Linked DNA regions of Caenorhabditis elegans. The protein of the gene in region 2 interacts with the protein of the main gene of each other region in a biochemical or structural test. Each region holds a gene or a part of one and is shown on either strand. Other genes may lie near its edges. The genes, in order: egl-4 and hpl-2.

Region 1 (4,906 bases), on a different chromosome or scaffold from region 2:
AAAAATGAAGTAAAACTTTTTTTTTTGGGCATAAAAAAATGAAACTGGCTTGTAAAAAATGAGAAAAACGGCCCGACGACGGGAGGAAAATCCTATTAGCGTCGGTCGTCCCTATCGGCATGGGCTCACCCGTTTTTTGTGCAATGCACAATTGCACAAGAGCACGTACACTTGTGCATAAGGAAGAGTTCACCAGGAAGAAAATACCATTGAGAAAATTGATAAGAAGAACTATCGAATTTTTTTCTGATCAATTGTTCAATTTTCAGAAATTTTGTGTGCCAAAATTTCGAAAAATTGAATTTTTGCGAATTTCGACTCTGAAAAATCGTAAATCGATCAATTTTCCAGGTGAGACGTGGTCTGGGAAGCTGGAATTTTTTGACACCACGAGCACGTGAAAAACCGAGGAACAAATCGGTATGGTCCAGACTTTCCCATAACGGTTTGACCTACAAAAATGCGGGATTTTTTGGCCTAAAAAATGTGACGTCCGCATGTTCTTAGCCATGCAAAATAAGTTGAAAAGTCTGCGTCCAATTTCCCGCGCATTCTGGTAGATCAACGTAGATCAAACCGACATGGGACACACCTGGCACCACGTGATGGTCGAGTTTTCACTGTTCGGAAATCTTTGAGCTATGGGAAAAAGTAACAATTTATAGGAAGATTGGGTCAAATCTCATCCTTTTTCTGCCAAAATATCGGAAAAATTGAATTTCTGCGATCTTTAACAGGAAAAAAATGGCAATTTAGATGTATTTTCTATTCAGAAAGCTCAAATTTTTCTAGACTTTTCACCGGGAAGCAGGTGTAAACCGAAAAGCAAAAGAAATTGTTCGGTTATTCTATAAACTCCGTGAAGTGGCCGAGATTTTTCGGCTCGTGGCCGCCGCCTTTTTCTGCCAAAATTTCGAATTTTTGCGAATTTTGGCATTTTTAGTAATGGCCGAGTTTTCACTGTTTCGAAAGCTTTGAGCTGTGGGGAACAACATGACGTCAGTTCGGCCGATAGGGATTGATAAGAGAATTACTTTTTTTTTTTCATAAAAAAATATATCAATTTTCAGATCAATCGATCAATTTGCAGTTATTTTTTTGTCGGAAAATAGAAAAATCTACGTGGATTTAGTAGCAAACACGCTCCAATGAGAAAAAATGCCTAACTTTCTCAGTGGGGCGCGTATGCGGTGAAGGCGAAATTCGAATTTTCAGATGAGAATCGATTTTCTTCCGTGATTCTGGGCGAAATTTCGAGGAAAAATCCATTATTAGACTATTGAAATTGTCAATTTTAAAAACTGAAAAGCCATCGGAAATCCAAGCTTTCGCCTAAAAATTTCAGATTTTCGGTAATCCTGATGTCTTGCTCAAATGTCGATGATTTTTCTAATTTTAGAGCTGAACTTCTGAAATTTCTACCGTAATCTGGGATTTAGCCCCCACTAGGTCGCATTTTAAGGCGAAAAAATGCCAATCAAATTCCAATTCTCCAAGTTTTCGGTCCGCCAAAAACTCACATAAATCCTGGGTGGCTGCTGCTTCATCATCTTTTCATACTCAGACACTTCCACACATTTCAGCACGGAATATAGGACTAGAAATACGGAAAACTCTTCACCACCAGGTCTGCTATCACCAGGCTCAATTTGTTGTGATAAGAGGAATTTCGTCAAGTCGACATGAACATGATCATTACGCGACCCCCATGGAGCCATCAAACAACAGTTGGTGTCGTATTGCAGGCGTCCTGTGGAGAGAGCCGAGCAGCAGAATTGGCGGAGAGCTCCGGAGCGGGAAATTGGAAAAATATGTGTTGAAAAACTCGGAACAACCAGCAGAATAGTCGGAAGAGTCTAGGCAATAATTCGGAAGAATTTTCCATTTGGAGCACCAAAAACCCCGGAAAAACCGCAGAAAATCCAGAAAATCGACAATCGGCTCCTCCGTAAATCCACACAAAGTGACAATGATCTCTGGTCACGAAAATCTAGAAGTTCAGACAAAATCTAGCAAAAATCCGAGGATTTCAACCGGAAATGTGTAAAAAATGTCAAAGTTGATACCATTTCTGTGCACAAAAAACCTGAAAATTTTGAAAATCTGGCTGAAATTGGTGAAAATCACCAAAAGTTTCGCCCGTAAGTCGACATAGGCATCAGTAAATCTACACAGATTTTTGAAATTTTCAATTTAGAAAACTGCATTTATGGTATAAACTCAAATCAAATGTTGAGTTCGCCAAATTGAAAAAAAACTCTCGTAAATCGACACAGGCCCCCGTAAATATACACGGAGCTGCGGAAAACACCAAATAATCCTGGAAAGATTTTGCAAAATTGAAGGATTTCATTCCAAAACTAGTCGAATTTCAGTAAAATTTCGGAAAATGTTATCCCGTAAATCGACACTGAACCCCTGTAAATCGACATTAAAGCCTCGTAAATCGACATTACAGCCCTCGTAAATCGACACTGAACTCCCGTAAATCGACATTACAGTCTCGTAAATCGACACCGAACCCCCGTAAATCGACATTACAGCCCTCGTAAATCGACACTGAACTCCCGTAAATCGACATTACAGTCTCGTAAATCGACACTGAACCCCCGTAAATCGACATTACAGTCTCGTAAATCGACACTGAACCCCCGTAAATCGACATTACAGTCTCGTAAATCGACACTGAACCCCCGTAAATCCACATTACAGTCTTGTAAATCGACACTGAACCCCCGTAAATCGACATTACAGTCTCGTAAATCGACACTGAACCCCCGTAAATCCACATAGGTCTTTACAAAGTCCTGAGCACATTATGACCGAATAACTCGGGATTTTTAGGCCAAATTTATCAAAATTATATCATTTTTGCCCATTTTCCCGCATATTTTCCCCCAAAATCCCCGTAAATCTACACAAAGGTAAATTTTAATCATTTTTCAGCGATTTTTCCTGCAAAAAAACCTCCCACAAAACTCTAACCTGATTCCCATTCGGCTGATCAGACGGCTTACGAAGTTTGGAGAAGAATCCACGGATTCCACCTCCACCACCACCTGGAGCACCACCACCGGCTCCACCACTGGCTCCTCCGCCACCACCACCACCGCCGCTCGACGGACGGCTCCCAGAGCTCATTTCCAGTTGATTTTCCGCTGGTCGCTTTATTGTTTTATCGATTAATTTTCGGATTGTGAGTGGATGTGGTGGATGGCGGGCGTCGGAGGTATCACCTTTTGATCTGTAAAAGTATTTATTTATTGATTTTTTTGAGCGGAGCGGGGAGGAAAAAACGGAAAAAAATGCGGAAAAGTGAGAGAGAAATCGAGAGGAAATTCAAATTTTCAGCGAAAAAATGCAGTTTTTTCGATAAATTTCCGAAAATGTTCACACGAAATTTGAGTTTTTGCGAAAAAAACATCATTTTTGAAGAAAATTCGGCAATTTTTGCTCAAATTTTCAGAAAAAAAAGGAATTTTCTGCGCATGTTTACGTGGAATTTTTTAAAAAATTCGGTGCATTTTTTTTTGAGAAAACCACTAATTTTCAGGGAATTATATCAGAAAAATCTAAGACAACTCAATTTTCAGCGGAAAAAATGTCGTTTTTCTCTATATTTTTACACGAAATTCGAGAATTTTTGTGATTTTTCCGAACAAATATTTTCCACAAAATGCAAAAAATTCGTCATTTTTTAACCACCAAATTTACAGGAAAAAATTGGAAAAACGGGGCATTTTTTGAGTAAACCACAAATTTTCCGGGAATTTTATGAAAAAAAATCTAAGAAAAGCCAATTTTCAGGAGAAACCTCGTGCAAAATTTCAAGAAAAACCGACTTTCACCGAAAAAGCAAATTTTTCACAAGAAATTCGATTTTTAAATCAAAATCCTGACAAAATATACAAAATTGCCGATTTTTCAGCTTAATCCAAGTGGATTGTGGTTTTTCACGCAATTTTTCAGAAAAAAAACGCGAAATTCTCAGATTTTGCGGGTAGTTTTCACAGAAAAACCGACTTTTAGAGGAGAAAATTTGAAAAAAAATGTAAAAAAAAGAAAAAATCCAATCGAAATCCATCCGTCTCCGCCACATCTTCATCAGCATCTCCCTGCAAAATTAAATAATAAATAAACAGAATTTTCTACGATAAAAATTCTTTAAAAAAAAAAGAAAAATTGCAATTTCACGACGAAGACACTCACCCGCATTTTGACGACCCGCGTATTTCAAAGAATCGCCGAGTCGAATTGGAGCATGTCGCCGGCTCTCAACGCATGTTTCAGGTCTGCAAATTGGCACAGGAAATTGCATTGAATTCGAAGAAAAGAAAAGAGGGGAGTGTTGTAGAAACTCACATGAAAGACGCTTTTTTCGTCCGGGGCCGAGCAGTTCGACGAGCTTTTGCGCGAAAATCTTCACATTTTGCTCGCCGCTATTGTATTTCTTGATAATTTCGCGAAAATGTGGAACTTCTTCGGGGCGGAGACAAGAGAGAACCTGAAAAAAAAGGAAAAAATGATGAGAAAATTGATAAATTTCGATTTAAATTTCATTAAACTCGCGTGTGACGAAAGTACGCAAACACGGATGGAGAAAAATGCGGATCGAGCGCAGAATCTTACGACATGTGTGAAAATAATATATTTTTAAACTCTCATTTTCAGGCAAAAACTCCATGAATTCCAACAATAAAACTGAATTTTAGGAGAAAAATTGAGAAATAAAATTAAAATAAAATTAAATATTTTGCAACAGAAAAATTATGTGAAAATTGATTTTTACCGGTTTTTGACGGCAAAAGTCGAATATTTCAAATTTTCAGCGAAAAAAAGCCAAAAAGGGAGATTTTTAGAACACAATTTTTGTAAAAAATGCTATAAAACCACAAGCTTGTAGGGA
Region 2 (6,014 bases):
AGATTTGAAGCTTTATTAATTAATTGAATTTAATAAATAGTTTTAATTTTTCAGATAATGGATCTCTTCCGAAAACCGAAAAAGCGCAATGCACCCGTCGTTCGTAAAAAGGAAAGCTCAAGTGATGAGGATCAAGATTCAGAAGTGAAGGATGTGATTCAAAAGCGACGTCGTACGAATCCGATGGTCCAGTCGGTGAGATCTTGGTACTTTAGTGCTCCAAAATTTTGGAAAATCCCAATAAACTTTGAAATTCAGACCAAACAACTAGACGCCTCAACACGACGTGCTGATAATTCATCGGATGATTCTGACGACTCTGACGACAATCAGGATATCGCAGTAGCAACTCACTCGTTCGCCGCTTCAGGAGATGCCGGTCCATCTGGACCACGTGATCAAGGTGCCACTGCAACACTCGAAGTGGACACAGACTATTCACACGATGCCCAGGCTCAATTCGAACGAGTCCAACAGCAACTGAAGGAAGGCGTCGAGAAAGACGGAAAAATTCTGTACAAGGGAAGTGCACTGTATGGAGCCAAAGAGGCGAAGGATACGGCCAAGGGAAACGCTGCAAGTGGTTATAATCGAGTTGGGCCCGTTCGGGCGCCACAATTTCTACGACAAACAGTCCGTTGGGATTTTGCACCGGATATTTGCAAGGATTACAAGGAGACTGGATTCTGTACGTTTGGAGATTCGTGTAAATTTGTGCACGACCGATCGGACTATAAACACGGATGGGAGATTGATGAGGAGTACGAAGCAGGAAAATATGGTGCTGAAGACGATGCGAATTACGAGATTCATGAAGGCGACGATACGTTTCCGGAGGATTGTTTTATTTGCGGAAATCCATTTGTTGATCCGATCGTGACAAAATGCAAGCACTACTTTTGCACCGGTTGTGCGTTGAAATCGTTCCAAAAGTCGTCAAAATGCCCAATATGTCAGCAGAATACTGAGAATATTATGAATACCGCAAAAGGTTTGAAATAGAACGATTAATTCGTGATTTTCGCAAGTTTTGGAAGGTTTTTCGGCGCAGTTTGATACTTACATGTTACGGAGGATACTGCACGTGGACAAGCGTGAATCTTTTTTCACATTTTTTGGACAATAATAAGACATTATAACTAGAAAGAGAGGAGGAGCCTAATTTCGCAACTCTGCGGCACGATTTTTCGACAATTTTCCACTGTTTTTTTTTTTGGTTTTTTTTCTGGTTTTTTTTTCCAAAAAACTTCGATTCTTCCTGTTTTATTTTTTTTTACGAGAAAAAAATCAAATTTAATTCGCATAACATTTCGATTATAGTTCATATTTTTACAACCAATTTAGCTTGAAATATCCTCCCAATCTAATGTGAATTAAAAGGAATAAAATCGAAACTTTTATGGAAAAACCCCAAAAAAGAAAAAGGAAAACCGTGCCGCATGGTTGCAAAATTGGTTGCAAAATTACGTTCCGCCTCTTTTTCTGCTTTTTGGAAAACTCATTTCTTTGGTAATTTGGAATGTTGGAAGAGAATCAGCGAAAATAGTTCAAAAAAGTAAATTTCAGCCAATAACTCACAGTTGTCCGGGTGAAGTACAAAATCCTTCGTAAATTTACATGCAACAAACCGCGCTTTTAATCCAAAACTTGCGAAATTCACAAGATAGTAGCTCGAAAAATGTGGCAAAAAAAAATTAATTTTTAAATTTTCAGAGCTCCTAACCTACCTGAAACGGAAGAAGCAACAACAGAAGCAAGAAGCCGAGAAACAGGAAGAAGAAAAAGATAGTGACGATGATGAAAAACCACACGAATGCGACGATCACCATCATCATGATCACGAAGATGAGCCCGAGGAGCCTGAAAACGACTCAAATGTTCCAGAAGCCGAGGAGAAGAGCGATGAGGAACAGGAGATTATGATGGAGGATGTGGAAGGGCTTGAAGGTGGAGAAAATGACTCTGAGAGTGATGATGATGATGCTGAAAAAGATTGATAATTTTTATTTTTTTTTTAAATATTTCTGTACGGTGATTGTCTGTGAGTAAACTAAATATGATTTTTTTTCTTGTTCGAGCCTTTTTTTAATTTCAAGATATTGTTCGAATCTTTATTCCATATTTTTTCTATGTTTTTTCAGATTTCTCCCATTTTAGCTCAAATTTATTTCAGCAATTTCAAAAATGTCGAGCAAATCAACAAAGCGAGCAAAAATCGAAGATCCGGTATGGAACGGCGAAAAAACCAAAAAATCTATTTTTACAACAAAAAAAACTAAAAAATACAATTTTGCAACGAAAAAAAACCAAAAAACAGTCCATTTTGCAAAAAAACAATAAATCAATTTTTGCACTAAAAAAAATATTTTAAAAAAACAATTTTGCAACAAAAAATCTATTTTTGCATAAAAAATCCAATTTTGCTAGAAACAAAGCGACAGTATAAGTTCCCCGACAAAGAAAAAAAAAGTCACATTTTATTCAAAAATCTGATTTCCAGAAGGACAACGTGTTCATGGTGGAAAAAGTGCTGGACAAGCGAACTGGAAAAGCCGGCAGAGACGAATTTCTCATACAGTGGCAAGGATTCCCCGAGTCTGACTCTAGCTGGGAGCCGAGAGAGAATCTCCAGTGCGTCGAGATGTTGGACGAGTTTGAGAGGGAATTTTCAAAGGTTTTGAAGAATTTTTTAAAGTTTATTTTACTTGAAATGGTCCTAAAAAGCGAATTTCATAGTGAAAATTGTTTGAAAAATCTTCGATTTTGCCCACTTTTCCGTGCTGCAACTGTTTAAATTAGATTTTTGTTCGATTATTCTCCTATTTTCACACGGAAAAGCTGGTAAACTTGAAGATTTTAACTAAAATTAGGTTTTTTAGAGTTAAAATTACAAAGTCATAAAATCCGATTTTTCTGCAACAAACTTATTTTATTTTTACAGAGAGAGAAACCAATTCGCAAACGACACAGCCAGAAGCCCGAACCTTCCGAAGATCAAGCGGATCCAGAAGAGGATAAAGATGAAAAGAAGGAAACGAATCAAAATGACAAATTCTCACTGGAAGGCAAGCAGTTAAAATGCATTGTCGGGCTCACCAAGGGACCTGGGGAACTTCATTTTCTGTGCAAATTCAGTGATGACACGGCACGGCTTCTTCCAGCGAAGGAGGTGAACAGTCGGTGAGTTTGGGAATTGCTCCCGGTTGATTAAAAGTGTATTACGGAAACACTCCACCCAAAAACTTTAAAAGTATCCGAAAAAAAATATTACGGGAACACAAAATTCTGAGAATGCGTATTGCGCAACATATTTGACGCGCAAAATATCTCGTAGCGAAAACTACAGTCATTCTTTAAATGACTACTGTAGTGTCGATTTACGGGCTCGAGTTTTGAAATGGATTTTTGTTCAAATAGTGGCATTTTTGCTTAATTTTAATATTCTATCGGTAAATCAAAAAAATATGATTTCGAAAATAGAGCCCGTAAATCGACACAGGCACTACAGAATTTACTGTATTTACTGTACTGTAGTTTTCGCTACGAGATATTTTGCGCGATACGCATTTTCAGAATCTTGTGGTCTCGTGATACGCGTCGATGGGGATTTCACTCTAAAATATGCCGGCTGTACTGCACATAAGTGCCGAAATACCGAAATACCACGAAAAATATGAAAAATTGGACTTTTTCACTAAGAAATTCGAGGAAAAACGGAACAATTGCGTTTAAATTGATAAAAACCATGGCGCGGTAATTCAAACATTCAAAATTTTTCTGACTATTCTGCGTATTTAAAACTGAAATCCCGATCGGCGCTAGAGTTTTTAGCTAGGAAGCGAACCTCAATTTGGCATTTAAAAAAGCTCTAAATTTCAGCTATCCGAGCCAAGTTATCAGATACTACGAATCCAAGCTAACAATCCAAGACCCAAAAGCCGACGAGCTTTAATCACTCCCCACCCCGATACACGTGTTCAATATCATGTTCTCTCATCTCATTCCCATATTCTTTTTGAATTATCTTGTAAAATCTATACCAATTTTTGTGCTAACCCCTGAAATCGAGACTAAATATTATTGAATCAATAAAAATTTCTTGAGACACATTACATTCGACATTCTATTTTCCATACAGATACCGCCCGTTCGTCGACGCTTACGGCGAATTTCTGAAGAAAAAGATGGAGAGACGACACAAACGGATTTCCGAGGGAAAGAAGAAGCGTTCGATTGAGGAAGATGATGCAGATGATGAGTGGCCTGAAATGCCACCGGGACATCGAATTCTTGTGAGAAAATTTGAAGTTTTAGAAGGAGAAAATTTTGAGAAAAATGAAAAAAAAAAGTTTTCTCTGAAATGTTTCCAAAAAACAGTCTCTACACAAGGTCCAAAATTTGAACACCTCTCGAAAAATGTTTTTTTTAATTAAAAAAAATTTTTTTTTGGGAAAACATTTTTTTTGAGAAATTTTTTTAAAACTATACTGTTTTTAAATCTTTGAGAAAAAACTAATTTTTTGCGAATTTTGAATTCTTTTAGGTATTCTTCTTAAGGAAAAAGTAGTTTAGAAACTTTTTTTGGAACAAAATTATGTATTTTTAATTTTAGAATAAAAAACAATTTTTGAAATTTTTTTCAAAATTTTTATTTTAATTCCAGACAACCGAAGAACACGAGCTGCAACGTAGGAAGGAATCGAAAATATCGCAGGACGTTGAGATGACTGAAGCGGTAGGGGTCTTACCACGAACGAAATATTTTTTGAGGCCGCGCCTTTAAGAACTACAGAACACTATGTATCGATTTTTCAAAGAAAAAGGAAAACATAGATTTGTAAAAGAGATTCCTGAAATTCGTTTAAAAATCGATCTCTAGTAAATAAAAAAATGTCAGAAATTGTAAATTTCGGGATTTTTTCGCCAAAAAAATAGCCTTCCTCATGTGGTGTCAGAAAGTCTCATTGCAGTTTGATCTACAAAAAATGCGGGAATTGTTTCCCAGAAAAAATGTGACGTCAGAACGCTCTTAACCATGCAAAATCAGATAAGATGTCTGCGTCTCTTCTCCCGCATTTTTCGTAGATCAAAGCGAAAAGGGACTGTATGACTCCACGTGCTTCCTTAAACCATTCTTCAGTTTCAGCAAACCGCGGCCGATATGCTCAATGATATGCACATGGCGGCCAATGGAGATCTGCTTTCCAGCTTCCCACAAGATTTCCTTGAAGACTCTGGCGATGGAGAAGTTCACGAGGCGGCCATCCTCTCCGTTTTCGATGACAATTCGAATAGCCCGCCACCGTGTCCGATCGTTGTCGACACTGTACCAGACGATGATGACAGTCTCTTGTTCCCAAGAAACTCATAAATTATTTGATCTCCGCTGTTTCTTTTTTTTTTCGAAAATCCGATTTATATAAAGTTTGAACATTATCTTTATATAATGGATAGTACAACAAAAATCTCTTTAGAAATATATATAAAAAATATGTTAGAAACACTGAGAAGCTCATGGTGCATCGACAAATTTTCTGCATTTGCAGAAAATCCCACAAAAATGAAGAACATCGAGAACAAAACTCATGGTGCATCGACTAACAAATTTTTCGGCCAAAAAAATCTGATAAAATATGATGGCAAACAGACTTCCTAGAAACACCTGAATTTCGCCCGTAAAAAATGAGTGCGCCTTTAAGAGCTACAGTAACCCACTAAATCATTAAACTGAAAGTTCCTTGATGTCGAAAGAGAAACAAAATTTGACAAAAAAAAATTTATTGTCAGAGAAAAGTAATAGAAGTGAAATTGTGTGGGGAAATAAATACGGACGGGGAGTTTGAAAAAAGAATGGGACTATACGAGGTCATAAATAATACAATTGTGGGGAACGATGAGCATAGAAAAGGGGAAATGGGGCTCCATAAAAAAAATGAAGGACCTAAAAACGGGGGAAAATCACGAGAGGCGGTCGGGGGCTCAGAAGAACTTCAATCGTGTGGCTTGTCCACAGT

What was found.
Region 1: of the proteins of hpl-2 (region 2) and egl-4, one has a biochemical effect on the other in vitro, tested with the Caenorhabditis elegans proteins (one study listed by BioGRID).

What each region holds. Positions count from the first base shown.
Region 1 is NC_003282.8:1,846,306-1,851,211, reverse strand, and holds the start of egl-4 (cGMP-dependent protein kinase), read right to left. Parts: upstream 3,142-4,906; coding exon 2,986-3,141; intron 1,548-2,985; coding exon of another isoform or gene 1,521-1,547; intron 1-1,520. Other genes in the region: ccm-2 (CCM (Cerebral Cavernous Malformation) gene homolog), read right to left, coding at 4,234-4,292, 4,363-4,504. UniProt on the Caenorhabditis elegans protein: Promotes chemoreceptor gene expression in response to increased cGMP levels by antagonizing the gene repression functions of the class II HDAC hda-4 and the mef-2 transcription factor.
Region 2 is NC_003281.10:10,751,681-10,757,694, reverse strand, and holds hpl-2 (Chromobox protein homolog hpl-2), read left to right. Parts: upstream 1-2,173; 5' UTR 2,174-2,184; coding exon 2,185-2,226; intron 2,227-2,500; coding exon 2,501-2,674; intron 2,675-2,941; coding exon 2,942-3,180; intron 3,181-3,879; coding exon of another isoform or gene 3,880-3,952; exon of another isoform or gene 3,953-4,104; intron 4,105-4,138; coding exon 4,139-4,292; intron 4,293-4,663; coding exon 4,664-4,735; intron 4,736-5,140; coding exon 5,141-5,371; 3' UTR 5,372-5,441; downstream 5,442-6,014. Other genes in the region: K01G5.10 (Haloacid dehalogenase-like hydrolase domain-containing protein 3), read left to right, coding at 1-19; rnf-113 (putative E3 ubiquitin-protein ligase rnf113), read left to right, coding at 58-195, 259-991, 1,714-1,997; enu-3.6 (ENhancer of Uncoordination), read right to left, coding at 5,991-6,014. UniProt on the Caenorhabditis elegans protein: Seems to be involved in transcriptional silencing in heterochromatin-like complexes. Probably does not act as global transcriptional repressor, instead targeting a subset of genes. Involved in RNA processing mediated by Tar DNA-binding protein homolog tdp-1.